3 linked regions of the Schizosaccharomyces pombe genome follow. The protein of the gene in region 3 interacts with the protein of the main gene of each other region in a pairwise test. Each region holds a gene or a part of one and is shown on either strand. Other genes may lie near its edges. The genes, in order: ntr2, brr2 and ctr1.

Evidence for each region.
Region 1: the proteins of ctr1 (region 3) and ntr2 interact in a two-hybrid assay, tested with the Schizosaccharomyces pombe proteins (one study listed by BioGRID).
Region 2: the proteins of ctr1 (region 3) and brr2 interact in a two-hybrid assay, tested with the Schizosaccharomyces pombe proteins (one study listed by BioGRID).

Annotation. Positions count from the first base shown.
Region 1 is NC_003424.3:3,565,697-3,574,843, forward strand, and holds ntr2 (spliceosome complex disassembly protein Ntr2), read right to left. Parts: upstream 3,850-9,147; 5' UTR 3,844-3,849; coding exon 3,747-3,843; exon of another isoform or gene 3,673-3,746; coding exon 3,596-3,672; exon of another isoform or gene 3,531-3,595; coding exon 3,445-3,530; exon of another isoform or gene 3,397-3,444; coding exon 2,571-3,396; 3' UTR 2,286-2,570; downstream 1-2,285. Other genes in the region: WD repeat-containing protein Vps8, read right to left, coding at 1-1,133; SPOM_SPAC17A2.07C (uncharacterized protein), read right to left, coding at 1,527-1,942, 2,045-2,162; RNA-binding protein Csx1, read right to left, coding at 4,751-6,649.
Region 2 is NC_003424.3:1,457,395-1,470,147, forward strand, and holds brr2 (U5 snRNP complex subunit Brr2), read right to left. Parts: upstream 7,886-12,753; 5' UTR 7,866-7,885; coding exon 1,335-7,865; 3' UTR 1,051-1,334; downstream 1-1,050. Other genes in the region: SPOM_SPAC9.02C (polyamine N-acetyltransferase), read right to left, coding at 1-147, 245-343; Tf2-1 (retrotransposable element/transposon Tf2-type), read left to right, coding at 8,453-12,454. UniProt on the Schizosaccharomyces pombe protein: Involved in pre-mRNA splicing. May be involved in endoplasmic reticulum-associated protein degradation (ERAD) and required for growth at low and high temperatures. Required for pre-spliceosome formation, which is the first step of pre-mRNA splicing.
Region 3 is NC_003424.3:1,898,055-1,907,071, reverse strand, and holds ctr1 (protein ctr1), read right to left. Parts: upstream 4,997-9,017; 5' UTR 4,754-4,996; coding exon 3,866-4,753; 3' UTR 3,231-3,865; downstream 1-3,230. Other genes in the region: SPOM_SPAC110.06 (uncharacterized protein), read left to right, coding at 1,252-1,344; arb1 (argonaute inhibitor protein 1), read right to left, coding at 5,641-6,373, 6,435-6,686, 6,726-6,743, 6,783-6,865, 6,907-7,020; gar2 (nucleolin), read right to left, coding at 8,047-9,017.

The sequences.
Region 1 (9,147 bases), 1.7 Mb from region 3:
ACAAAAGCTAACTCCATATCATCGAATAAAATTATTATAATGCTACTAGAAGGAAACCACCAGAGCTTCCAAATTGCTTTGGCAAATTTTTTTCTATCCATAAGTTGTAATGACATGTATCCCTTGTGAAAAGTAACCGAATACAACCTAAGGTTGTTGTTATATGCTGTAGCAAAAAATGCATGCAGCTTGGTATTCTCACCGTTTTTATGAACTATACTTGAGGAAAATGAGTGACAAGCAGAAGAAACAATTCCGGCGGGATATTTGAATTCATAAATAAGAGTAGTTTTAGGAAAAAGAGTCACAATTTGAATCGATTGTAAAGATTGGAGTACAACGAAAGAAAAATGCTTCACACCTGTAATGTGAAGTTCTTCAAAAGATATGCTGGAAGTATCGACAATAATAGAGTCTAAATTTAAGCTATTTGATTTTGACATATCTAGATTCCAGGAAGTGCAATGTTTATTAATAACCAAATTGTAAAACTCGTGAACAGCAATTTTACCGAGATGATCGGTAGAAAGTAAAACATCATCAGAATTACCATTAAATACGAGGTGTGTCAACACAGAATCTTCCGAATGTTGATTAATTGTAAACAACTGTAGGGGAGGCTTTCGGCTAACATCCCAAACAAAAATAATGCCACCAGCATGTCCTTGGCATACAATTCTTTTAGAATTCGAAATCGCTAAAGAAGTGACAGGTAGAGTAACGGATTCATTAGAAGATAAACCAGGCTTGAGGATTTGAAAGTCATTCGTTCGCCAATCATTCAACAATACGTGTCCAGAGGATGTTCCAGCTACTAACAACGTACCTTGATAAGCGATAGACGTGACAGTTGCAGGCTGATCATTCATGGTAAATCTGAGTTCTCTCAATTGGGAAGAAACCCTGCGTAACTGTCCCCAGCGCATCCAACAATCATTCCATGAATATTCATCTTGCCTAAAAGGACGATTGGAAGCATGGATAGCAGTTGAAATTCCAAGGGTGGTGCTTGCGGCTTCATTGTCAAAAGACGAGCTATTAACGGAGTCCTTGGAAAAGGAAAGAGCTCTTAGTGTCCGAGTATCATCACCATTTTTTATTTTTAAGGAAGATCTACCATACTTGGATTGCATGATTGCGAGACTCAATGTGAATGTGAATTGGAATCAATTGTTAAGAGTTAAAGCTTCTTCAGCATTTACTCAAAAAACAGTATTTTCTACTGTCTAGAAAAGTATCTAATGATAAAGCTCAATTCATTAGGGAATCCGTTGTCTAATGTAACGGTTGACAGAGGTCATAGAAAAAGACAAGAACCTTAGCGTTCAGCGTTAATGTGCACTAAATGAGTGTCAACAGAAACAGGTGCTTTGAAAAATGTAGAGAAAAACAGAGTTGTTAGGAATATTTAAAATTATTTTAAATTATCAGTCAACATATTCAAAAAAATTCCGATTTTTCAAAATCAAAGTGAACAAATACTGTATAATATATCATGAAAACAGCATGCAGTCATTGAGCATAAATCATCCAATTTCCATTAGTAAATCAGACTGACTAGTTCCGCTGGATTTATACTTTATTGAAGCATCACTGGAAACATTAAGATGAGATTCGATGGTGACTGCACCAAGATCTTCGGATGAAGAAGAGTACTTAACCGATAGCTTAAAATCATCAGGAGAAGGAATTGAAGACTTGCCAGATGATTTTCCTGGCTGCCGATTCGAATTCAAGAGCAAAAATAGAAAATCCCGTTTCAATTTCTTTTCCAAAGGAGAGATCACAGAAAGTTGTGTCCGTGGAGCTTCGTCAGCCTCTTCTGTAGGCTTATTTATGCTGTCATCTTCTTCCAGTTCAGCATCCAAGTCTTCTACAACAATTGTGTACTCATTTTTGTAGTAAGCTACACGCTTGCAGGTTGGCATTTCAATATCAGAATCTGCACCGACTGTTAATATATTGACATGGAATAAAGGATATTGTAAGAGAATTCGCTTTCCCTTTTAAATTTATTCAAAAGGTTAATCGATAGTATACATACCATCATATTCTGAAGTATCCTCTATTGTAAGCTTCTTCAATGGCCTTTCGATAATTTCGAGGATTCTTTTCGTCGAATAATCATCTTTTGACGCATAATAGCTTCTTTTCAGAGCCATTGAGACGATAAAATGACAAGTCTTATTGTAAACCCACTTTTTGGCAGTAGGTAAAATGTATTCTCTTCAACACACAAAATCCATTGTAAGTGACAATGCTACTTACTAAAGTTTTGAATACTCAGAGGCTATAACTTTAATATGTGATAAAGCTAATGAAATCTTCTAGCAATTAATATCTATTATCTCCATAAATATCGGGTCATTATTTTTTTGTAATTCCCGGTGACTTCTTGGCACTGTTTTTCTATTTCAACAAGTCACCGATGGGCTGTAACAGCTAATTAATACTGTACAAGGATAAGAGTTCTGTAAGAAATGTAAATCTAAGTTATAGCGTTAAGTAAATTTATCGACCATGTCTTTCTTCTTTGTTTTTTTTTTATCAATTAAAAAATCCAAAGTAAATCAGGATTTGCTTTTGGTAAGGTTGTTCAACAAAGTTTTATCTAAATCAATGAAAGAATGTTTAATCTTTTCCTCTTGTTCATTAATCTCGAGTTCTTCTTCCATAAGTGATTTAATAATCTGTGAACGCTCCTCCTGCTGAAGCTTCTCAGAAGCTATTGCTTCTTTTAGCCGCTGAATTTGTTCATCCATTGTAAGAATATTAGGAAGCTTCACAGAAAGTCCATTTGTAAAAGCAGGAGATTCTCCAAAGGCACCTTTCTTGATTTGAGTATGTTCCCATGATTGGATGGGCTCTGCTATGTCTTCATCGTCCAATTCCATCTCCATATTTTTCTGGTCGACGGCCATTTGAATTGATCGTGTCCGTAAACTTTCCGAGCTATGGTGGTATATTTCTTGAAGTTTTTCTGACTCCTCCACGTAATTTTCAAATCCAGAGTAACCTTCATCTTGAATTTCGTCTTCCGTTTGAAGCAATTTCTCTTCTTTATGATTTTGTGCCAACATCAGTTGGTCCCCTGTTTCAAGTGAAATGTAATTATCCGTCATCATGGCAATGTTTCTCTTTCTTCCTTCTCGATCCTTTAACTCCTTAATCATTGCTTCCTCAGGAATGCCTTGATTAAGCATATTCCATTCCAAACTAGTATTAACGGGTAAAGGAGGTGACGATCTTGTTTGCAATTCGCTTTCTTTGGTCGAGGAATCCTCCTCCTTCTTTGTAAATTCTGATGGTGTCTGCCTACTTTTTCTCTTTAACTCATCCACATAAGCATTGGAGTATCCACTTTCATGCGAGAGAGCATCCATTCTTCGCGATATTCTTTATTAATTAGATAACTAATACTTGGACTTAAAACATTTTACTTACAAATCATCAACCGAATGAAAAGAGCTTTGCTTTTTTACCTTTGGAATCAAAGGGATTTGAGAATCCTCCCCATCGTCGTCTCCTTCCTAATCAATGTTTGTTAATATAACAGATGAATTGGTAAAACGTTTTCCAGCAAAAAACAACTTACCTCGTTCTCATATTTCACCCTAAATTTTCCCGAATTTTTTTCTTTCGCTTTTGTTTTTCTTCTATTTGCATTTTTGTCTAAGCATTGTTAGTACACTTGCGATAATAAGTTCTATTCGAGCCCAAGCACTTTTGCGCTTTTAAGTTCTTACTTGATTGAGAAACGTTTAAATTTTCTTCATGCTTTTCTTCCTCATTGTCGCTCGTTTGCACGATTTTAGGCTTCGCCTTTTTTAAGTATCGTCGCATGTTGGTAAATGGGTGCTACTTTCTAGGCAAACATATTTCTACCAATCTTTCATATTGAATAGCTATTTTTGTAAAAAAAAAATCATATAAAGTCTTAATTAAAATGATGTTTTTATGTTCTGTGAAAATTAGAAAGGGATAAACATAAATGTCTTTACTTGGGCATTTAATATTATGGCACATACTGAAGAGGTGCATCGGATAATGCAAAGCATCAGAAAAGTATTTGTTCAATTGACTTACATTTTTTTCGACTAATTTTAGAGAAATGTGTTTGAAATTCAAGTTTCAGATTTAAAACTTTTAATTGAAAAGCTACAATCGACAAGCTACCAATATCTACTACAGTCACTGGAAAATTTCCATTATATAAGTTGAAAACAAAAACAATGCTTTTAATTATTTAGAAAATCAGAAGAAAAAATAACAAAATTATTTTTTGGAAAGGACATTTTAAAATAAAACATATAAATAACTCATCGATCCAAAAAAAAGATTTGGACGTTTGAAAAACCTCAATGGAAGTTTTCATGTACATATGTGCATTAAGGAACAACAGCAATGAAAGAAAAATAAAACAATCATAAATAAAACAATCCTTGGCACAAATAATATTCAACAGTTATAAAAAACATCACAAGAGAGATTTAACATACAAGAATAAAAACAAAACAAAATAAAAAAAATCACGAGAGCACCCTTCAGTTCTTTAAGACATTAAACTAACTTGATCAGGAGCCCTCGAAAACTTATACGGATGCCTTTGAAAAACGAAAATAAATAAAAAATTAAAACAAAAACATTAGAAATAAAACAAGAATATTCGGGAAATCCCTTCACTTAAGAAGAGAAGTGGAAGAAACAAATAGTAGTAGTAGTAATGCATTTCAAACATCATAAAAATAATTTATGAATCGCGTGACAAGCGTAGAGAAGGTTGCAAGTATTGACCAGTACAATTAAATGTAGAATAAGAACGAGGAGGCAAGCGACCTCTCAAGTTCAAACCAAAGCCGGATTTCTCCAAACCGTTTTCATTTTGCTCCAACTCATGACGGAGATCAATTAGTGAAGACTGACGCTCCCTTCCTAGGTTCCAAGGCCTAGAAGCTCTCGCTTGAAATGCTGAACCATTCAAAGAAGCAGGTTGCTCATCATCAACCAACTTTAAGGAGGAAACACGTGTTAATAAATCTTGAGTAGCAAAGGAGTTATGATTGTTGCCGGAAAAAGGCTGCAACCATTCGGGGAGCTTCACACTAGGCTGGACCTTTGCAGAACCATTAATTTTTGAGGATTGCAAAACAGAAGACTGAGGATACACCTGTCCGCCTACCAAGCCAGTGGCAGCTGAAGGGAAATGGGAAGAAAGAGGTGTCAAACCTGAGCCACTACCGGACAACGTAGGAGAAATGGAGGCTGAACGAGACAAAGGAGGTGGAGAAATGGTTGAAAAATTTACGGAGTTCATGCCATTGATTGAGGAAACAACGGAGTTTGGCAACAAAGATTGCGCAGCAGCAGTACGAGGTGAAACAGGTGCACTCTTCAAGCTAGAGCCGGATGAGTTTGAGCTGCCAGAGTTTGCTCCAATGACAGATTGATTCATACCGAAAATTTGGTTAGCGGAAAGAGTTCTGTCGAAGCCCTCATCTGAAACTTGGGATTGAGATTGAGACAAGGCAGATACAGGAAGCGTATTATGACCCCACGCGAGGCGGATATGAGAAGTACCAACTAAGGCACCCTGCATAGTGTTTATGGCCTTTTCAGCAGCAGATTTTTCACTGTACTGGACAAAGCCACATCCCTTGCCAAAGGGAATCTTGATGTTCAAAATTCTTCCAAAGGGCTGAAAGCAAACTTGCAAATCTTTCTCGGATAAATTGCTAGCCAAGCCACCGACAAACACCGTAGTGTTCAAAGGATCCATGCTACAAAGATCTTGATTAGGCTGGCGGTTAGAAGTAGAAGTAGGAACGATACCAAGGGCAGAATCGGCGGCGATGGAGGCTCTAGACTTTGGTGAAGCGACAGAGATGCGTAAGGGGCGACCTTGACACAAATAGCCCTGCATATGCATCAAGGCATGTTGTTGTTCTTTCTCACTTGAAAAGCGAACAAAGCCATATTTCCTGCTGAGACCGGTAACGGGATCGACAATGATCTTGGCTGAGGTACATGAGGGATATATGGAACGGAAAGTCATAAAAAGATCCGAATCCTCGGTAGTGGGAAGAAGGTCGCCAACGAAGATACTAAACTCAGGATCACGGGAAACAAAGTTGTTATGTTGAATGCCGCCACCAGTAGCCCAGTTAAGCTTGAAGGTACAGTGAGCACCAGGAATCATGGTGTTATTATACTTCATCAAAGCACGCTCAGCAGCTGCAGAAGAGGAAAACTGAACGAAGCAATAGCTGATAAGCGTTTCCGAAGAGGATGCTTTGGAGCGCATGACTTTAACGTTGACAGGTTCGTTGAGGGAAGCCCAGAGCTGTTGAATAAAAGTAGCGTCCATCCAAGGTTCCAGGTCACCCATCCATAAGGTGTCGCTCATTTTCGAGCCAACACCTGCTACATCTTGAAGTGGAGTGGAGCTAGGAGAACAGTTGAAAGGAGCCACAAGTCTCTCCAAAGTAGGAGAAACTAACTCTGATTTGCCCTCATCAACCACAGGGGAAATGGGGGCATTGACATCTGAATTAGAAGCTGACATTTTCGAGGTTGCTGGAATAGACGAATGCAAAGGGACGAAGGAAGTATCAAACAATGAAGAACGGCGATAAAGGCAGTCAATAGACATTTAAATAGATATCCAAAAAAAAGTAAAAGAAAGTAAGTAATATGAATGAACAACAAAGTTTCAATGAGACACAAAAGTCAAAAAACGTAACCAGTATAAGACAATGGGTGGTAGAATCTTTCAACGATGAACAAAATAAAGCTTAGCTTATAACGTACAGACAAATAAATCAAGGACGAAAAAGCGAGAGGTCTAAGAACTCTTGAGATGAAGAAATGCTAATAGAACAATCAAGAACAATTTAATAAAAAAAAAAAGAGAAATTTTTTTTGCTTGCGTAAAGTGTAACGGTAAGAGCAAAAAAAAAAAGATTCAGGAATAAAAGAAGTACTAAAACAAAGTGTTACAAAGATCGAGTATTAAAGAGGATTGGAAGAATAAAAATCAAAATCGATCTGAAATAAAAGGAAATTAATAAATGAGATGGTTTCGCGGTAAAAAGCTTGTTGAAGTGAAAATATAAAAAAAAAACACAGAAACAAAGTTATTCGATTGTTGATGAGACAAAAAGCGAAAATACAATCCTTAATGAGGCGTGAAAGAAAAATTCGTTAAAATCACTGAATGGGTACACGAAAAAGAAAACCTGATGGTTGTGATGAAGCAGGGTTCTTCAGTTTTTATTTTAAAAATAATAAAACAAGTAATACAATGTACGAAAGAAAAAGGAAACAACGATGAACAAGGTCTCTTCTGAAAATTATTAGGTATGAAGAATAAAAAAAAGAAAAAGAAACCAAAGGTTGGAAGAGAGAAAATAAAGAAAAGGAAAAAAGAAAATCGAGTCGAGTTAATCAATCACAGAAAGAGAAGAAGAAAAGAAAATAAAATAAAATAAAAATATATATATATGTGCAATAAAAAACGAAGGAACCTGACAGGGGGGACAGAAGTGTTTTCTTTGATGAAGTTAAAGAACAACAGCAACAATGACAAATATATATATATATATTATATTATATTATATATTATATAAATATAATATATATACAATGCAGGAAAAAGAGGTGTCCGTATATTATAGGTTTATATATATATACTGTGCAGTATATGTATGTTATAATATATAAAGAACAAACGAATCCTTTTGATATCGAGTAGTCCTTTTTTTCGCTAGTGATATAGCTAAATAGGAGGATACGGTATGCGAGGAAGTAAAAGGGAAAATTTTCCTTCTCGAGAAAGGTAGAGTTTGAAAGAGACGAGAAGAAGAATGGAAAAAAGATACCAAAAGCAGTCAGTAATATATAACCAAGTAAGGAATCTGCAAAAAGGTACGGAAAATTTAGAGGGAACGATAGAGTAGGGAAGAGGAGAAATCGTTCAATAGGGGAAAAAGAAGAAAAATGAAAAAAAAAGTGGTGATAGGATAGAACGCTGGAATGCTAGAGGAATTCGGTAAAATACAAATAAATAAGTCACGCAGCGAAAAAGAGAAAAAAAAAGTACAACCGGTTCCGAATGCAAAGCGAAGCAAAGCAAAGTAAAGGAAAGAAAGGATGAACCGTTGGGAGACGAGTGAAAAGTAAAAGTGAATGGGAGAGAGTAGGAGCGTGTCCAGACTAGGCAAGCACTTTAAATAGCGAGACCTTAAAAACGTATACACACAACAAGGGGGGTACGGTGTGTAATAAACACAAATGAAGTATGGGCTATGCAATCAGCTAGGCAACACAAGACAAGCAAGGCGAGGGAAAGTGGCGAAATCCCAAGAGAGCAATAAGGATGCGTAGCGAGGAAAAAAAGCGAGACAGCGATGCGCACCGGTACCGAAAACCAAAGTCCGAAAAATGGATGTAAGATTTACGAGGTTAAGAATCGAAAGAGGACAAGGGAGAGAGACAGAGAGAGCACAAGGCAGTAGAGAGAGTATGTGCGTGAGAGAGAGAAAATCAGGTAAGGATTGATGTGGGAGGATGGTGAGCGAAAAAAAAAAGCAAACCACCGAGAAATGGGTCTAGAAAAGAAACCGTTGCAAAGGAAAGAAAAGGAAATCGAATGAAATCGATTGAATGAATAGGAAACTTGGCTGGACTTTTTAAATAGTTAGCCGAGTGTTGCTAAAAGCGGTGAATGATGTGAAAGTGAGAAAGCGAATAAAAGAATAAAAAAGAAAAGGATGAAGAAAAGTGCAAGACTTTTCTTGGGGGGTTTGTTGATAAGGCAGTGTGTGATGGAATGGAAAGAGAGGGAGAAAAGTGCTTTGTTTGAAAGATAAGTAAACGAAGCAACAAACAAAACAAACTAAACTAACCGAACCGAGCAAAAGAAAAAAAAAATTACACAACAACCACAAAAAGTAAAGACACTAGGAGAGAGTAGCAAAAGCTTACAAAAACAAGTGGTTGAAAAAAGGAAGAAGACAAGAGTAAATTAGAATATACTGGATAGGCAAAAAAAAAAGAAAAACTCCCTAAAAAAAACACACAAGGGGTATTAAACGAAGTTTGTATGTATGTAGTGAAACAAAAAAAAAAAAGGAAGAAAACCGAGAAAAG
Region 2 (12,753 bases), 440 kb from region 3:
CGAATCATGTTTAGACATGGATTCGTGTGTAACAGTTTCGCTACCTGTTCTAGAAGTCAAGACATGTCCAATTAAAGTACTGGTATGTTGAGTAGGAGCAAAAAGTCCTAACTGAATCTCCGGAGCACGTTTTACCCGATCCTTAATCTATTGAGCGTTTAGTTAATCTGGCTATTCGAAAAACAAGCGTAGACAAATCATTGACAAGATAACTAACAATGAGAATGTCTCAGAATCCACTTACCCTAGCAAAAGAAGCCCTCTCTGCTTCAGGAAAGCAAATGGCTTCCAATTTTGAAACCTCTTCAACTTCGGATCTCTCGATATTACGAATGTTGACCATTACACTTTCTTGGTAAATAAGCAATCAAATACGCGCGTTCAGAAAACGACCTCTTAAACTGTTCTGCAATTTGAAGGGGGAAAATTCTCTTCTAAATCTAGTAATCGCGAATAAGCAAGCAAACAATTCACGTCGAGTTTTTCCCTTATAATTAGTAAGTACTGGCTAGGTAAGATTAAATATAGTAAATTCAACATTATATTTTGACGATATAAACGGTGTTACTTCGCACTTCAGTAGTCCTCCTTGTAAATCTCAACACTTTAGTGCTAGTGGTTCCACATTTATGTGCACAGAATAACTAATCATTGTATTCTCTTAATAATTTTATAGCTTCTGTTCGCTTATAAATATATATATATATCTAGCGATAATTGTTGAATCTACATTGGGTGGTTTATGAACAAAAACAAAATGATATCAATATGTATATAAGTGTAGTAAATACGATATTTAATATTTTTAATAGAAGCGCAGGATAAGAACTCGTGTTGCTTGATTTTTATCAGCGTATTGTAGTAGTTTAACATCTAACTCTTCGCTTCTTCAGTCTTGGGTAATAAACGTTGCATATTTTTTGAATTTCAGGTTAAAACATTTGAAAATTACTTTAACTATCTACATTACCACAGGTCTCGCTACACCTCTCCTTTCAATAGCATCACTGAAACAATTCTCCTAAGTGAACATGAAAATCTATCTTCGCATTATTTGAAAATCAAAATTTGACTTCATTAATTATAAATATATACATATGTTCATGTATTCATATGAAATCATTGCATACCTAGTAATGCATGTTTGGTTGTTAAGAATTTGCACACGCTGATGGCATCAATAAATTTGCTGAAAAAGAAAAGCTAAAGAATCAAACCATCCATTAATTAGCAAATAAATATACAATGAATTCAAAAAATAATTATTTAACAGTTCTTTTGACCCTCAAGTCAAAATTTTTAATTTGGGAATTATCCATATTTTGCACAATACCTTATTCCCCGTCTTCCATTTCTGTGTCCAAAGGTTCCAAAACGTTGCATTCAAATTCTTTTTCATAATCCACACCCATATAAGAATCGCTAAAGCAGCTCAGTTTATATTTTAAAGTTCCCATTGCCGGGGGCACAAATTCCATCTTGGTAGTCAAGGACCTACCTAAGGTAATCTTCTTAATTGCCAAGAGGGTTTTGTCATCCGAAATTACAAGCCACCAATGTTCAGTTTTTTGAGCTGGAAAGTAAGGAGCAATGACAGTCGTATCAACTTCTTCATCCTCTTCCAGTTCTCGAGTTAGTTGAACAATAAGCACAGAGGGTGAATTAGCGTGAACATCTTCAGAGTCTTCTATTTCAAAATCAATGTCAATATCCGGATATTTATTGATAAACTCTGCGCATTTGGCAAGATGTGCATTATCCATATGTAACAATTCAGTACGTTTTTCGTCATCCAAATCGATAATATCAAAGACATCATGAACACCCTCTTTATTGCATCGTTCGATTAAAGCGTCGTCGAAATAGGGTATCTGTTTTAAAGGACTATCACGATCCCATAAAGCTTGCGTAACCATTTGCGACATCTCCATTGGTCTAATACAAGCTATTAAATGGCCTTCGGAAGACAATGTATCAACACAAGCGCCCAGAAGATTATGTACCCTAGTCAAAATGAATTTCTGATCTATAACTAAACCAGGAGGCAATTCAAATCTAGAAAAATGAGCTGCAAGAAGAATAAATGATTTCGTATGAGGATCTTCATAGTTAGGATTACTTAAGCGAACAGGCAGGCGGGAATGAATTCGCTCCAGCACAATATCTTCATACTTTCGAATTGGGAGTTGCTCATATTCTGCTGCTGATGTAACAATTTCTAGTAATCCCTTCATCTTCGTGCGCTCTGACAAGCTCAAAGCAAACGTTTGCATAGTAATGTATGTAATTCCGTAATGAGAAGCTATCATTGCTAAATTTAATGCGACACAACTATCATCCTCATCGTCTACAGTGATTAAGCGTGCCTCACTCAAATCATTCATGGTTGTTTCTACAAGATCCGAAAGGAATTCAGAAACCGACTCATGAGTGATATCTTGAAGACCATAATAGGCAGGATTGGCAACTAGTCTCCGGTACATATACGACCATGTAAGCCAATCTACAGCATCTTGTTTGCTTTCAATGGTTTGCGTAGATATTTCTGACACGAAAGCATCGTGCAGCCAAACTTGAAGATGGCTTTCCATGGGTAATGGCTCATTTAAAAATTTCTTGTAATATTCCTTCTTAGTAGTGACAGTCATAAGAATAACCTGGCTAAGCTCACTTGATCCAATGCTAGCAGTAAACCCGAGCATTTGTAATAACTCACTTATAGGATAATCAATATAACGATGTTCTTTGCCATCATAGTATTGAGTACCCATCACAATAACAGCGTTTGATTTTGCTTTTAAGGAATAAATAACATCGCGAGAAGCTATCAAAACCTTGATAAGTCCATGACGGTAAAGATATTGTACAATATTCTGATCATTGGACGATGTGATTTCACTAATATAAGCAATACCATGCTTCAATGATTGCTGCAAGGCAGCATCTTCAACTTTATTGAAAGCTTCATTCTCCATTAACGAAAACAAATACTCATCTTCATCAGCCATACTGAATGTAACTAAATCAAAAGCTAATTGTTTCGCTACTTTCCTGTCAGGAGTAAATACAATAGTAGACTTTCTCTGAGAAATAAAGTTCTTCAAGCTGCGATATATAGGCTTGCTCATAGCCAACATAAGGGAAGGGAAATGAGTAATACTGAATGATTGCAAATGAATAGTAAGAGGATTAGGCCTGTCTTTAGGACTAAAATTAAATATGCATTGTGGACTAGTCCCAAGCCACTCACCCAAATCTCGAGCATTAGCAACAGATACTGAAAGGCCAACCACTCGGATATTTTTTTCTAATTGTACTGCCATGTACCGTATCCGTGAGATCACTATTTCGTATAATGGACCATAAAATCCACCAAGCAATTGTAATTCATCACATATATAAAAATCAACTTTCTGAATGCTTCGCATACTTCTCCATCTCTTCGACAATGAGTCCCATTGCGATGGCGTGCAAAATATCAAGTCAGCAACTTGTATCAGCTTCAAGTCTTGTGAACGCTCACCCGTCAATTTTACCAAAACTTTCCCATCACCGAGGTCAGAAAACTTGCCATACCATTCTTCATATCGACGATCAACGATTTCCTGAATTGGGGCAATGTAAACTGCAGTACCATAATCTTCTTGACTCCAATGATGTAACAAAGCAAGTTCGGCACAAACAGTCTTTCCACTTCCATTGGGAGCACCAATAAAAACACTATCGTTGGTTTTATAAACAGAGTTAAACACCTGTGTTTGAATCTTGTTAAAAAATTTAAAATTAGGGTAGAGGGAAATGAAGCTTGGGTTATTAAGACTAGAGACCGGGGCGTTCTGAAGATCAAGAAGAGGTGTTGGCGCAGGAAATTTTTCTGGCATTATCAGGCGCTGAAATGAAAGAGGTACCTTAGTTATCGAGTGTAACCATCGATCTGAAACTATCTTTATAAAGTAACAAGGAGGAAGAGGTTCTAACAAAGGTACTGTAAAATTTACAATATGCTCATCATCTTTGTATTTTTTAAGAAGGAAAAATTGTTCATAATGTAGCAATCGGTCCCCGTCCACGTCTTCTACAAGGATCCAAAAAGCTTCAGAAGTGCCGCTTAAATGATCATCCCAGTTGAACTGAGAATTTATAACAAGTTCGACCCGCACAAGCGATCTTGTGATAGGTTGAACATGTGCTTCGACGCTCAACCTTGGAAAAGACTGAACCATGTTGTACACACGCCTCCCTTCTTTTGGCACCCCTACTAATTCTCCTAATTCAGCAGGGTCCAGATCAAAGTATCGCTGCCAAGGAAATTCCTTTTTCTCAACGCGGCGTATTACTTCAGAAGGACAATTGGGAAACTGTCGAAGGGGGCTCATAGTTGGCCAAAGCCTTTTCTCAATCATTTTGCATGTATCAAGAGAGAGTGTTGCAACAGATGACCAACCACGTCTCAATGATATCTCGAATATTGCACGCATAATTCTACCCGCTGATTGCGTAACGTATACCATGTCTGCCACAAGTGCAAATCCATCCAGGCGTTGTCTTGATATATATGATTGGAGAAGGGCATTAATCTTGGCAGCAGGTTCATCTAATCTTTCCCTAATAGGAATTGGTACTCTTTCCAGCAACTTCGCGAGTTCAACTTTCTCTTCTTCACGGACAGGAATGTGCTTAAATTCATCAGAAAAACTGAAGACTCGAAATAACTCGATAAAGGATGTTGTCTGCATTAAAAGACGATTATATATGGCCATCGAGTTATGAGTAACGTAATAACTTGCAGCAACTTTTCCCAATTCCGTAGCGGTCAACGTACCACTCTGACGATTATACACTAGTAACTTGCATTTTTCTAATAAAATGGCAGCTGAATGAAGTAAGTCAGCTCTTTTTTGAACAAGATATTTGTCATCATCATACTCTGGGCCGACGCTATATAGGGCAGGGGATCGTAACATTCGAACATAGAGGTATGTATAACCAAGCCAGTCTACGCCATCTTCGATACTACGAACAGTTCCTAACGATACTTCGGCATTTAAACAATCAGCTAGACGGCGCATAAATTGAGACTCAATTGGAAGCTGCTGATTCATTAGTGATAGATAATACTGTAACTCAGAGTGGGCGGTAATGATAATTCCTTCACCATATGTGTCGAATTGTGGGCGACCAGCTCTGCCAAGCATTTGCAAAACATCCTGAGGAGAGAGTTCTGTCCAGATACCCTTTTCAGGAGAATAAACTTGGGTCCCTTTGATGATCACTGTGTGCGCTGGTAAGTTTACGCCCCAAGCCAGAGTTGCCGTACTCACTAGTACCTGTATAGTACCATCGGCAAAAAGGTCTTCAGACGTTTGGCGATCCTCTCGTCGCATACCAGCATGATGTATGGCAAACCCATATGGGAGCAAATCTTTCAAATTTTCATCACTGGTAGAGTCGGCTTCAGCCCGAAGAATTTCACGGGATGCGGCATCAGAGCGTAACAAATGACCGATGGTCTCTTCCTCTAGTGCCTTATCTCTTATAAAACGAGCGGTTTTAGCGGTTTCTTTGCGCGAATGTACAAATATGAGGACCTGGTTTTTGCCAGCGTGTTGCATAACTTTTTCATAACAAGCTTCATTAGTCGTCTGCATTCGTTTAAACGGTGTTTTTTCTGTAATGCCTATAAATTCTTGCTTTAAAGGGCATGGACGATATGTCGAATCGAAGTAAAAAAGCCCTTTTTTAGGGTCGACATGTAAAAAACTGGCAACATCGGTATAATTAGGAAGTGTAGCAGACAAACCTACTAATCGAACTTGTTCAAGAGTTTCCTCCTGATGGCGAAATATACGAGCAACTATAGATTCTAATACAGGACCTCGTTCATCATGAAGCAAATGAACCTCATCAATAATAACTAAACGGACTAGATTGACATAAGATAAATCATTAGCTTTTCGAGTTATAATATCCCACTTCTCGGGTGTGGTTACAATTATTTGAGTTTCACTAATTTGTTGTTTAGTCAATTGACTATCACCAGTTAACTCTGCGACTCGAATATTGTATGGAGTAAGCCTCTTTGAGAAATTATTAACCATCTCTTGTACCAACGCCTTCAAGGGAGCAATGTAAACAATTTTAAAATTTTGTAAGTTAAAGCTAAGATCTTCACGTAAATGTTTTTGTAATTCGTTAAGGATACATAGCATTGCTACATTTGTTTTTCCAGCACCAGTAGGAGCGCATAAAAGGATGTTTTCGTCAGTACCAAAAGCGATAGGATAAAGATGGCTTTGGATTCGGTTTAAAGATTGAGTATTAAGAAAAGCTTGATGAGACCATTCAGGCAGTTCCTTGATTTTTACAAGACGCTCGTCAGCGCCAAGTACGGCTTTGTTGGGGGCAGGAACATGTATTTCTTCATACCCTTTACCAGTCCTACGAAACGAGCCTTCAGGTAGCTTGACAGCTTTATTAGACATGAGACGTGATCCCTCAGTAAACACATAATTTTCTAGATCAACTTGGTGCTTAGGTACAATTTTATGGGAAGTCAAAGTTTTCGAAAGTGGAATTTCAGAAACGGGCGCAGGTTCAGCTTTCTCAACAACATTATTATTTAATTCATTTAAACCGTCATCAGGTATAGTGATAGCACCAGGGCGTAGAGCTTCGAGAATCCAAGACCGACCAGCAGCACGAATTTGCTCTTCCACACCTAAGCGTTCTTCATCAGTAGCGGCGCGTTTTAACATTGTACACGAAACTATTGTCCAACGATTCTTAGTCAAAAGTTGAACAAGATAGAAATGTTCATAATCAAAAATACTCATCAATTCATTTTCCAATTCACCGAGATCGTAATCAGCCGAAAGTGCCTCAAACGCTTGATTTGTTTTTTCCTGACAAACGACGGCGTCAGCAAAATATTTTGCTATTTCTCGTTGCAGCCAAAATGCATCGATTTCACGAGGATGAACAGTGGGTATTTCGGTAACTTTTTTGGTATCAGCAGAAATAAATGTAACCTCTGTATCCGGATTTTCAATATTCTTTTTCTCTTCTTCTTGAGATATGGAAGTTTCTAAGACGACGTCTTCATCTTCTGCCACTTCATCCTCTTCCATTGCCTCAACAGCTTCTTCCTCTTCATCGGCTTCATTGAACAATACTGGTACGCCAGATTCATTAACGCCTTCTTCATTTAACTCTTCTTCTTGCTCAACTGTATAATCTGTTAAGCGATTTCCCAAGTTAACGAGCTGTGAAAACCGATCCTGTGGGAGTTCAGTACTCAAAACCTCCTCTATTTGCTTTTTACGACCTTGTTCATCTAAAGAACTATCCTTAAGAAGTTCAATAATCAAATCAGCAGCAGAACGGAGGATTTCAGGAGACTGATCGCCAAGGTATTGTTGAATGAAACTCAAGATATAATCATAAACTTCTCGGGTCTCGTCGGTTAGAGGATTATATTTCAAAATTTCAAAAGAATCAAAATATTTAAGTATCGCTGAAGAGCGCTTTTCGCGTTCAGGTTGCCGTATACCAATTTCTAAGGATTCTGCATCTTTACGAGGTAACCGGACCTCCTGAACTTCCTGCGTCAATTCGAGAGGAAGGGTACTAGGTTTTTCAATTCTCGCTCTAGAACCCATATCTGCAATACTAACTCGATTTACCAGAGATTCCGGTTCGCCTGTAGGTTCAGCATCACGTCGTGACACAAATCTTCGATCAGCCTGCGTAACCAAATTTGACATTGCAGAATAACTATACTGTGATTGACCATAGTTTGGCTTCTCCTTACTATTTCCATGTTTGGGAGGCTCTTTCGAGTCCCCTTTAGGATGTGCACTCGACATGATTGTGAGTGGCGGAGGATAAACTGAATTTTCAATTTTCGTCTACTTCGAGGTATTAGAAGTGTTCATTTCTGTCAGCAATACTACACTACGCTATAATACACTACGTTGAGTATCACTATATGTCACATGTTCTAATTATATATCGTACCATGTATGATACGATATGGAGATTGATCTTAATGATAATCTATTAAGATCAATATTATCTGAATACTATAAATAGAGCTACTGCTGAACCTCGTTCCTCAGTTCAGTTATGAGCTATATTAGTGATAGGTAACATTATAACCCAGTTAATACAATACCTATACTCAGTTGCTACTTATACAACCTGTGTATTGTAATATAATAGATCACAAGGAAAGCTCACCGCAGTTCTACGTATCCTTAAATCAGATACCAAACTGCGTAGCTTACAATAACTGAACTCTTGTGATCTACAATTAACTCCTTTTAGGAAAAAGGAATTATTGAATAAATATATATCATAAATATATATATTTCTCTCCTTCTGGGTTCAAAGGAGAAAGAACTTTGGAAGGACTGTTATCCCTTTTGAAATCTCCCAAAGGGAAACATATACAATGTCCTACGCAAATTATCGTTATATGAAAGCAAGAGCAAAACGATGGAGACCAGAGAATTTGGATGGAATTCAAACATCAGACGAACATTTAATAAACCTTTTTGCAAAAATATTATCGAAGCATGTACCAGAGATAGGGAAATTCGATCCTAATAAGGATGTTGAAAGTTACATTTCAAAACTTGATCAACACTTTACTGAATACCCTTCATTATTCCCAAATGAGCATACTAAAAGACAGTATACATTGAATCACCTAGAAGAATTAGAGCAACAATTCGCTGAACGCATGTTTTCTGAGAATGGAAGTCTTACATGGCAAGAATTACTCAGACAAACAGGGAAAGTACAAGGATCCAACAAAGGTGATCGTTTAACTAAAACATTTGAAGGTTTTAGAAATCAATTGGACAAAGTTCAATTTATAAGGAAACTCATGTCAAAAGCAAATGTTGATGATTTCCATACTCGCTTGTTTATATTATGGATGCTGCCATATTCCTTAAGGAAATTAAAGGAAAGAAATTACTGGAAATCAGAAATCAGTGAAATTTATGACTTTTTAGAGGACAAAAGAACAGCCTCGTATGGTAAAACTCACAAGCGTTTTCAACTGCAAAATAAAAATCTAGGAAAAGAGTCCCTTTCAAAGAAAAATAACACCACTAATAGCAGAAACCTGAGGAAGACAAATGTTTCGAGAATAGAATACTCATCTAACAAATTCCTAAATCATACTAGGAAACGTTACGAAATGGTATTACAAGCTGAACTTCCAGACTTCAAGTGCTCAATACCCTGTCTAATCGATACGGGCGCTCAAGCAAATATTATAACAGAAGAAACTGTTCGAGCACATAAACTGCCTACCAGACCCTGGTCAAAAAGTGTGATATATGGTGGAGTTTATCCAAATAAGATTAATCGCAAAACAATAAAACTTAACATAAGTCTAAATGGAATATCAATCAAAACAGAATTCTTGGTTGTAAAGAAATTTTCGCATCCAGCTGCTATCTCCTTCACAACATTATATGACAATAACATTGAAATATCTAGCAGTAAACACACGCTCTCTCAAATGAACAAAGTTTCAAATATTGTCAAGGAACCTGAGTTACCAGATATCTATAAAGAATTCAAAGACATTACTGCAGAAACCAATACGGAAAAGCTACCAAAGCCAATAAAAGGGTTAGAATTTGAAGTTGAACTAACTCAAGAAAACTACAGATTACCTATCAGAAATTACCCGCTACCACCGGGAAAAATGCAAGCTATGAATGATGAAATTAATCAAGGATTAAAAAGTGGAATTATACGAGAATCTAAAGCCATTAACGCCTGTCCAGTAATGTTCGTTCCGAAAAAGGAAGGCACCTTGAGAATGGTGGTTGACTACAAACCTTTAAATAAGTATGTCAAACCCAATATATATCCGTTACCACTTATTGAACAATTACTTGCTAAAATACAAGGTTCTACAATTTTTACTAAACTTGACCTCAAAAGTGCCTATCACTTGATACGAGTAAGAAAAGGAGATGAACATAAACTTGCTTTTCGCTGTCCTCGTGGAGTTTTTGAATATCTAGTAATGCCTTATGGCATATCTACAGCTCCAGCACATTTTCAATACTTTATCAATACAATACTTGGTGAAGCCAAAGAATCACATGTAGTATGTTATATGGATGATATTTTAATTCATTCAAAATCGGAATCTGAACATGTAAAACATGTTAAAGACGTTCTACAGAAATTGAAAAATGCGAACTTAATTATCAATCAAGCAAAATGTGAATTTCACCAATCACAAGTAAAATTTATAGGGTATCACATTTCGGAAAAAGGATTTACGCCTTGTCAAGAAAATATAGACAAAGTCTTACAATGGAAGCAACCTAAGAATCGTAAAGAATTACGACAATTTCTAGGTTCTGTCAATTATCTTAGGAAATTCATTCCAAAGACATCACAATTAACACATCCACTCAATAATCTTTTGAAAAAGGATGTACGCTGGAAATGGACACCAACACAAACCCAAGCGATAGAAAACATTAAACAATGTTTAGTTTCTCCTCCGGTGCTACGACACTTTGATTTCAGTAAAAAGATTCTACTGGAAACTGATGCTTCAGATGTCGCTGTAGGAGCCGTATTGTCTCAAAAACATGATGATGATAAATACTATCCTGTTGGATACTATTCAGCAAAGATGTCTAAAGCACAATTAAATTATAGCGTATCGGACAAAGAAATGCTTGCAATCATTAAGTCTCTCAAACATTGGAGACACTATTTAGAATCCACTATCGAACCTTTCAAAATTTTAACAGACCATCGAAACTTAATTGGTCGCATTACTAACGAATCCGAGCCTGAAAACAAACGTTTAGCTCGTTGGCAATTATTTTTACAAGACTTCAACTTTGAAATTAACTACAGACCTGGATCAGCAAATCACATAGCTGATGCCTTATCCAGAATTGTTGACGAAACAGAACCAATTCCAAAAGATTCAGAAGACAATAGTATCAACTTTGTTAATCAAATCTCGATAACCGATGATTTTAAAAACCAAGTGGTTACAGAATATACGAATGATACAAAATTGTTGAATTTACTAAACAATGAAGACAAACGAGTGGAAGAGAATATCCAACTCAAAGATGGCTTACTAATTAACAGTAAAGACCAAATCTTATTACCTAATGATACTCAGCTGACTAGGACAATTATTAAAAAGTATCATGAAGAAGGTAAATTGATTCATCCAGGCATTGAACTTCTTACAAACATTATATTACGTAGATTTACGTGGAAAGGAATAAGAAAACAAATACAAGAATATGTACAGAACTGCCATACATGTCAAATAAACAAATCTAGGAATCATAAACCTTATGGACCTTTACAACCAATTCCCCCATCAGAAAGACCTTGGGAATCTTTATCAATGGATTTTATTACAGCTTTACCAGAATCATCTGGTTATAATGCACTTTTCGTGGTAGTTGACCGATTTTCAAAAATGGCAATCTTAGTACCTTGTACGAAATCCATTACAGCAGAGCAAACAGCTCGAATGTTTGATCAACGAGTTATTGCTTATTTCGGCAATCCAAAAGAAATCATTGCAGATAATGATCATATTTTTACTTCCCAAACGTGGAAAGATTTCGCACATAAATATAATTTCGTTATGAAATTTTCGTTACCATACAGACCACAAACTGATGGACAAACTGAGCGTACAAACCAAACTGTGGAGAAATTACTAAGATGTGTATGTAGCACACATCCAAATACATGGGTAGATCATATATCCCTAGTGCAACAATCTTACAACAATGCGATACATTCAGCAACTCAAATGACACCTTTTGAGATAGTACATCGCTATTCACCAGCTTTATCACCTTTAGAGTTACCTAGCTTTAGTGACAAAACTGACGAAAACTCTCAGGAAACGATCCAAGTATTTCAAACAGTTAAAGAACACTTGAATACAAACAACATAAAGATGAAAAAGTATTTCGATATGAAAATACAAGAAATTGAAGAATTTCAACCTGGAGACCTAGTTATGGTCAAAAGAACGAAAACAGGTTTTCTTCATAAATCCAATAAATTAGCACCTAGTTTTGCAGGACCGTTCTATGTGTTACAGAAGTCGGGTCCAAACAACTATGAATTGGATCTTCCAGATTCAATCAAGCACATGTTTTCATCTACTTTTCATGTTTCTCACCTAGAAAAGTATCGACATAATTCAGAACTCAATTACGCTACCATTGATGAGTCTGATATTGGAACAATTCTTCATATCCTAGAACATAAAAACAGAGAACAAGTACTCTACTTAAATGTCAAGTACATTTCGAATCTAAATCCGAGTACTATTATGTCAGGATGGACTACATTAGCTACAGCGCTACAAGCGGACAAAGCAATTGTCAATGATTATATTAAAAACAATAATCTAAATATCTGAGAACATATGACTTATCCTCAGATTTACATAGAAAATCTTGGGGAGGGCAATGTCAGCAATACTACACTACGCTATAATACACTACGTTGAGTATCACTATATGTCACATGTTCTAATTATATATCGTACCATGTATGATACGATATGGAGATTGATCTTAATGATAATCTATTAAGATCAATATTATCTGAATACTATAAATAGAGCTACTGCTGAACCTCGTTCCTCAGTTCAGTTATGAGCTATATTAGTGATAGGTAACATTATAACCCAGTTAATACAATACCTATACTCAGTTG
Region 3 (9,017 bases):
GTTGAAAGAGGACTGTCAGTGAAAGAAAAAAAAACCAAATCACAATATATGCTGGAAAAGAAAAAGCGATAGGGCCATAGGTAACAAGCGACAAAAAAGACCAAAGTTGTAAGGGATGGATGGAAGCAAGGGGGAAGTAGAGCAAAGAAAGAAAACCAATATCTCGGGCCAAAAACAAACTAAAAGGCAACCAGTTTATAGTGAGATTGAAATGGATGATGTTAATACACGATGAATCGACAATACACAAATCACGATCCGGTAAAGAAAAAAATGGAATGGAAAGAGTTGATCAATGGGGTGTATGTAGTGTAGTGTATGGCTAATGTAACTAACTAGATAGATGTACGTATCTAATGTATGGAATGATGGAAATCAAGGATGGATGTAGGGTATGGGAATGAAGATGGAAAGAGGAAGAAGGAAGAAGGAATAAGAGAGTAGTAATGTTGAATTTGGTAAAGGATAAATTCAATTTTCTTCATGCTCCACCTGCATTAACGCAAATACGCATTTTATTAACAACACCAGTAATGTCCACTCTAAACAAATAACAATCAATGCACCTACGTAATAATAAATAACCTCGCTTAAACAGTATCAAAAACAACCACCAATGATAAGGGTGGTAGCATTCCTTTTCATAGTCTATGACTGATGATGACTTTTCATTGGCCAAGAAAAGGCCTCGGCTACCACGCTCCTGATAAAAGGACGAGTGATTGCTATTTTATCTAAGATAAGGCCCCTAATGCTTGGAGACCGATGTTATCATAGATAGACGATGTGGACGATTTTAGAAACGAATTAGGAGGAGAGAGCGGGATCTGGCCAATGTGTTGACAACGGATGATGTAGAAGCTCCGGGTAATGGAAGGATAATTTGATAACTAGGTTGCAGGTAATACGTAGGGGCGACGGGGAGAGAGTGTAAGCATACAAAGGATGTGAGAGAGAGCATAGAGAGTAAGTAGTTGTACTATGAGATTGGAGGGGTAGGAGAGGGACAAAGTAAGATGCAAGCGCATGTAAACAAACAAAGGAACTAATCAAAAGAATAAAAAAAAGGTAAGGAAAGAAAGAGAAAAATGAAAATGAAAATGAAGAAAACAAAAAAGAAAAGAAAGAAAAAAAGAGATGTAGAGGTATATAAATGAAGGAATGAATGACTGAAGGAATATGGACGCATGAGATATATATTTTATCCAAACATTCTAAATATACTCTTTAATACCTTTAAAAAAAATCAATATGAGATTTCTTTTTTTCTTACCTCCCTCCTTCATCACTTCTTTTCTTTACCTTGCTCTCTATTCCTTTCCTGTACCATACTGCATTATTTAACAACTACATTAATAAATCGCGCTTTAAAATATCAACCTGTTTTTATACCGACTTGTTTCTCTTTGGCATAAGCGTTATAGTTATTGCCAATATTCAAATCAATAGCGACAACGCCAAATAAAGACAGACGTGGTCTTTTCGCACTTATGGGTGGACGCAGCTTTTGCTAAAAGAGTCGCTGCACCCCATCTACCCCCCCCCCAAAAAAAAAGAAAAAAAAAATACAAAATAAAATAAAGGAAAACACATTTATTCTTGCTAAAAGTAAACACTTAAATTTTTAGAACTTAAGCAATTCTTGTAGAAATTTTCCCCGACCTAGCTGTTTTTGCTTTATAGTTTCGCTTCATAGTTCGCTTTACTTCCTTTTCATCTTTGTCTCCACTGGGCTTAACTGTACATACCTTTTAGCTGCAAACATACCACGTTTCAATCGAGGCAAAATAGAACGAGAAAATGGCCTAGCAAAACATTCACTTTATCTGTCTAACGAGTGCGCTGAAAAAAAAAAAAGAGCACATTCGGACGAGCAAATTAGGACATTCAACTTTTACTTAGCAATCATGCAAACTTGATTAAAAATTTACAAAAACAGCCAACTCTGGACCTTAGTAAAAAATTTCAAAACTTTTTACTTCATGAAACCCTGAGTTTTATCACTTCGCCCCCTGCGACATTTTCCTGTTTACAGCCAGACATTCTGCTGTTTGAGCAACTTCCTTGTAAACGCATCATACTATCCAAGTGCTACTTTAAATTTTTTCCGTGATCTACATTTATCTGCTGCGCACATTTCACAGGCAAAATCCCTTATGTAGCAGGCATTTCTCTTTGTTGTTCTTGAATTTAGTCAAGCCCCGCAATTTCGAGTGTGGAGACACAAGACCTCATTAGCTTTCAATGCTAACGCATTTTGTGCATATCCGTTATATTACGCTGTTTTCTAATTAAAACTTTTAAATAACGATATGGTAACGGCTTATTACGCCGTATGCGTTATACGCGGTTGGTAAAAAAAATTGCATAGTATATCGTGTCGTAATACATTTTGCACTCCAACACAATTTCACTGGGTTTGGCTGTATAATCAAATGTATGTCATTGCCGAAAACATCAAGAAACGAGTAGAGAATGATGATGGTACGATTAATATAAAAAAAATTTCAAAACGATAGAAGAGGGTTGAAAACGAAAAATAAGTTATACTAATGGAAAAAGCGCACTGAAAGGTATAAACATTAAACAACTTTCGCTTATTTTTCTAATAAACAGACCATTTTTTCTTTTTTGCAGACCTTATTCTTTCGCACTAATATTTAAACAAAAATTTTGTATTTCAACTAGCAAAAATTTCGATAAACAACCAATCAGTTCCGTTTTTTTTATTCTTCTTGCTGAAGTTTGGTTTTTTATGTGTTTACAATTTTCAGCAAAATAACGCACACCACTACACTTCGTAAAGCACCGCTCGGGAATGCTGAGATTGCCCTGAATTCGACAGCGGAATTCAGTTTTACCTTATTATCTACCGCCATTGATTTACTGAAATTCAAATTACAACCCATACAAATCAATATCTTCTAGTGATCCAATATTAAAAACGAGAATAGTAACTTTAATAATATTCTCAATTGTTTTTACAAACGTACACGGTCGGTTATAACTGCTGTTTTGAAAGTCTGAGTCATATTCCTCTGTTTCCTAATTATCATTTTCCGCATTTCAAAACGTATCTTTTAGTTTTGTATATATACTTAGTTATGTTGCTTGAAGAAATTTTGTCTTTCCTTATCAAATTTGTGGTTATTTCCGCATTCACCATTGCGTTTCTTCTGATTTTGCCAACGTTGAGTGCTATTGTCTTGGACATTGTGGTATGCGGATACCTTGCTTTGTACCGACTTTATGAAATTGGAGGCGGTTGCATCCAAAAGCCTTCAAAAGCCGTTCACCCAAAGTCCTCTTAATTCCGTTACAGTCTTAGCTGGCTTTCGAGTTTTGATTCTTTTTTTAATAGATTGTCCTTCTGTTTTTTGTTTTTAAAACATATAAGTTGTTTTCTCCTCTTAATATCCTCAGAACGTTTCTTTGCTTTGATATATTTGGCCGTCCAGTTTATTTTTTTTCCTTTTTCTGCCGCCAATTAAAAAATTTATAAAAGAATGCTTAAGTAAAGCTGACCATCCAACTGGTTATTATTTTTCACTTGCTTGTATACTCTTGCTAATATGTTTTGTGCTTTTTTCCCTATCCTTTCTCCCTTATTAATTTTATAAATACGCAACAAAAAAATGGTTCTCCAAAATACATAATTTAATATTTCACATTCATACTGATTGTGAATTCAATAATCAGAAATAAATAATTCGTTAAAATAAAACAAAAAAGAAGAAAACTACTGCTGTTTTTGGTGATTTCGTGTTCCTTTTTTCCTACAGTACTATTACATTTCTCTGTTTTCGCTAAGAAGCTTTTGTTTATGAGTCGTTATCATTACGTTTTCATTTCATTAGTTTCTACCTCAATTATTAGAAAAATGTTCAGACATCCATCTCTCCCCCAACTTTATTGCATAGTCTCGCTCAAGAAATTTCCGCCGTTCTTCAAGTTTTTTGTCTCGTAAGGTTAACACATCTTCTGTGTTTTTTCTCTGCTGTTGTGTAACCTTAGCATGAATCTCCTTTAAAGATAGAAGTTGCTCTTCTCTTTCTTTTTCGTCAAAAGAAAACTGGTAAAATGCCGTACCTTTATTCCTTACTTCCTTAGTCGAGTCATAATGAACTGCTTGCTGCTCATCTTCCTTCCACAATTTTTGAACCTTTTCTTCGTCTACTTCGAAGGATGGCATATAGTCACCGTATATTGGCTTTTCGGGCTTGTACTCCTCCTTTTGTGAAAGTAGGGTATTACCGGTCTCGTAAATAGAGACACTCCTGGTTCGCCCAAATTCATCCGTTATTTCAACTGTTTCATTTTCGGGTGCTTCCTCAGCCCATTTGCGTGTGAAGTCGACAAGGATTCCATCATCTTCTGTCTCCTTTATTTCCAGTTCTCCGGCAGCATACTGGTCGTATTTTTTAGCTTTTCGTTCCAGTTCCAGACGACTTCTTTGCAACAGCTCTTCCTCATTAGCTTGTTCAGTTTTTAAAGTTCCTTTTCTTTCCTCGTCCTTTCTTTTTTTGATAATATTACTTTGAAATTCCTTGTTGGATTTTCTTTTTTGTTTTACCAGTAATTTCCTTTTGGTCGTCTCGTTATCATTGGCTTCCAATAATTTATCGGTATACTTTTGATGGCTAATCTTGCGCTTCTCGTCCTCGTATCGCTTTTTTTCCTCAATTAGTTCATTAAGGAAGTTAAGATTGCTTTTAGCTGAGACTTGAATTTCGGATTTCTTTCCAACATTCATCTACTCGATACTTCAATTTTTTTAATTAATTTAATAATTATTTTCAATTCTTTTAAATTATTGAGAATGTGTAAATATATCAAAACATTCAAGTTATTGCAGAAAGCCGTAGTTTGCTTACTCCTGTACAAAAATAACAGGTCCAAAAGAACAGCAATTACTTTCTTCAATTCAATTATGCTTCTACAATACACTTAACCCAGTAAAACAATTACCAATTTATTTTCGTCGTTTTGGAGTTGTAAGGTGTCTTTTCCTCACCTGGGTTATTTCGCCATAGGCGCTGCGTTTCGCTATGCTAATCACAACTTCCAATCCAGTTACTTGATTTCTATCTTTACCCAGCACGACTTGTTCAATAGTACAAGTTATGAACGTTATTGATGATTGACTATTCTTTTCCACATAACGTTTTAGCCTTCATAGAGGAAAAATACTTATACACGTAAATTTTTTAATCGTTTGTGTTTACAATTAAAAGTGAATACACATTATAGCTTTAAATGTTCTTTTGATCGTGTTTATTGCATTGAGCCTGACAGTAACTTAAGATTATTGAAAAAATCATCCGAATAATTCTTATTGCTCAATACTGACTCAGAAGCGACTTCTGCACGATCTAGCTTTCAAAATATTGTCGCATAGTTTGACGTATTTGTATAAAAATATTTGAAAACATTAAATTACATACACAAGTAATATCTATTATGTGATTGGGAATTATAATTTCTTATACTTATTGTTTATGCAATTGGGGGAAGTACGAACTCACCAACGGGTCATTAATATATGTTAGAACTTTATCCTCATCACAATAAGAAGAAGCAACTAATTAAAGGATTTCATATCCAGCTATATTACAAAAGTAACTATATTAAAATACAATGCTATTCATCTTTAACTTCTTCATAAAAGGTGGGTAGCACAGCAAGCACAGTGTCTAATATAGTCAGTCCATTATCCAAAAAAGTGAACGATCCCTCTAAGTGAGTGCCATCAACAGTGTTGTTCAGTAAATCAGATTCCAAAATTACTTCTAGTCTTTCCTTATTTGTATCTTGAGAATATTTAGATCCGGGTGGATCCCAAACGATAAACACTGCTTTGCATAAAGATTGGTTTGAAAAATTCAATAGCGTTTTAGAAACTAACTTGACTGTTAAGTACTCTTGTTCAACGACTTTCCCAGTCAAATATCGTGGACCAAGAGTTCTCTGGATGTAGTCGCGCGCTTGCTGTGTAGAAAATCTACTAATTCCATCAGGCTCAAATAGTTCATCATTTGGCATGAATTTGGTATTATTGGATTCAATGAAATTGACTGAACTATCACTTGTCCTATCACTTTGCGATTTGTCCCATAAGCCTTTATAATTGTCAACATGTATACTAGCCAATGCCCGCTGCAATCTACCGGGAAGTTTAGTTGATAGCCTCTTATTAGAAATTAATTCAGTTTCTGCTTGCTCTGCTAATAAACATGCGTCACGAATATTATCTTCGAATTCTGGTGCAACATTGTTATGCAAAACACTTAGCAGAAAATTTCTAACAATTTGACAAGCTATTTGCAAATCCTCTTCCTTAGTTAGTCCAGCGTTATACAAAATGTGTGACGACCTTAAATTGATTAGCTAAAATACAACGTGAATTAAATTCAATGGAAACATAAATGACTCACAGAAATACTCCAGCAACCCACTTAAAATCAATATCATATTCATCAAGTATATCGTATTCAATATAATCAGTCGTGGTTTGAGCGGAAACTTCTCGTGCCTTCGCATCGTTATTAATATCAGTACCCCCTGTAAACTGTTTTTGGCCCGTAGAAACGCCTCCTAAATCTAGATACATTGTAAACAGTCTTATTCTTGTAGGGTCGCTCCATTTTCTGCGTGATCGATATCTTTGAATAAATCGCTCCATTCGCCTAATTTGTCAGCAAAGTCCTTAACATCTGTTTACTAACACAGTCAATGGTATGTTCCTAGAAGTGTTAGTAAGACACAATATTTTGTATTCTCACCTGCTGTATAATGTCTCATTTTCCAATTTCTCTTCAGCTGTCAGTTCGGGTTCTTGAAAATAAGGCTCCCATCCAGACAATCCCTAATATTTATTAGACGGGTTTTCTAAAGCTTAAGAAATACCCTCTTTTTTCTTCTATTACCGAGACTTTTTCCTGTACGTTTTTTAAAAGTAGTAAATTCCACGCTATCGCCAATACAACCTGTACTGTCATTTTTAAAATCACCTTCTGCCATCACTCAATCACTTCATCTGGACTGGAAAGTCAGTACACTAGTCGTATAGTTGATTTACTAGTTTATCAGTGTGGTAAGGGGAATCTAAGGAACCAAATTTACAGTGTTGTATTAGAAGCTTTGTTCATAGAGTTAAGTAGACAGTTCCTTTGCCGGATTTAGTAACGCTGGATATATTATTCTACAACCGTTTTTTGAATATGCCAGAACTCATCACTACTGTTACAATTGAATTTAGCTATATTATAATTTGATATACAAAAATATTTTTTTTTAATTTGCTTAAAATAATCGCAACCAAAGTGTAAGTAAACATGCTTGTATTAATTTAAAAGTTGAAATAGAAGCGTATTTGTAATGTAGAATCAATGATACCTTCTATTGATGCTTACCTAATTTAATAGACGAGACATTACAAGTTGAAGATATAAGACAATATGACAATGGCTCGACTACATTCTTCATTTATGATTACGGGTAAGACCACAATCAAAGTTCAACAAAAAATCATTAATTTAAAGTGCCGTATGGAAAAGCCCAAAAAGGAACACAAAACGGTCTTCATTTACTAGCTATTAGAAAGTGATCAACGATGATTGTGAGTAACATGGATTGATTAGATGAACAAGAACAAAACTAAATAAGATTCTATTTTATATTAAAACCTATCTAAAGCTATGTCAAAAGCTTCTATGGAACGTATAAAGGAAAGGTGAATACATGAACTAAACCGTAGAACAACGCCAACCATCACTGCTTTGAAATTGTAAAACCAACGGGCCCATATTTATTATCTTTATAAAGTCAATAAAACCAAACCAAACCCAAATTCATTCCATAACAAACCCAAACAAGTCATTTGTATTTGAATACTTCAACCCAATTAAATCAAATCCACAGCCCAACATTTATTAAAACCCTTTATGCCAAAAAGTTTCCCAAAAACCCAAACTCATATATTAATTTGCTAAGGTATTTACATTTAACCCATAAAAATGAACTCAATATAGTTAAAAGCCAGTATACTTAGTCAAAAGTGACTTTGTTCCCAGAAAATGGAGCAACCGAGCCACGGTTGGGGTTTCCAGAGCGAGCACCACCTCTACCGCGACCACGTCCGCCACCAAATCCACCACGGCCACCGAATCCACCACGACCGCCAAATCCACCGCGACCACCACGGCTACCTCCACCAGTACGAGGAGTTGAAAAGTCCAAACGACATGGGCGACCAGCAATAAAATGACCGTTCATTTCCACACATTTCTTGGCAGAGTCAATATCAGAGAAAGTAACATAACCGAAACCCTTAAGACGTCCTGACTGAGGATCTGTGGGCAAACGAATGGATTGAATGTCACCGCAACCGCCAAAAGCCGTACTGAGATCATCTTCAGTTGCGTTAAAAGACAAATTTCCAACAAATACGGTATCACTAGGTTCAGATAATTGGTCTCCAAAATTACCCGCACGTTGTTGAGCATATGGTTGAGGGTTGGCTGGGCGAGGATTAGAGAGATCTAAGTTGACCATACGACCATCAATTTCCTTGGTACCATTAGCGGCAACAGCAGCCTTAGCAGCCTCAGGGGTCTCAAAATCAACGTAGCCGTAACCCTTTGAGCGACCGCTTTGGCCATCCATAATAACACGTGCACCAACAATTGTACCGTACTCTTCAAATTCCTGCCCTAACCACTGATCATCTACGTTCCAAGAAAGACGACCGACGAAAACAGTGCAAGTCTCGTTAGAATCTTGAGAAGGCTTGGTAATCTTAGCAGGTCTTTCTTCAGAAGCAGGCTCGGCTTTACGTTTCTTCTCGTCTTCAGAGCTGGATTCGGATTCAGAATCAGAGGAAGAGTCGCTGTCTCCAGATTCTGAGGAGGAATCTGACGAGGATTCGGAGTCAGAAGAAGACTCGCTGGAGCCTTCTTTCTTCTCTTCAGTCTTCTCGACCACCTCTTCTTCTTCCTCAGATTCAGATGAGGAAGATT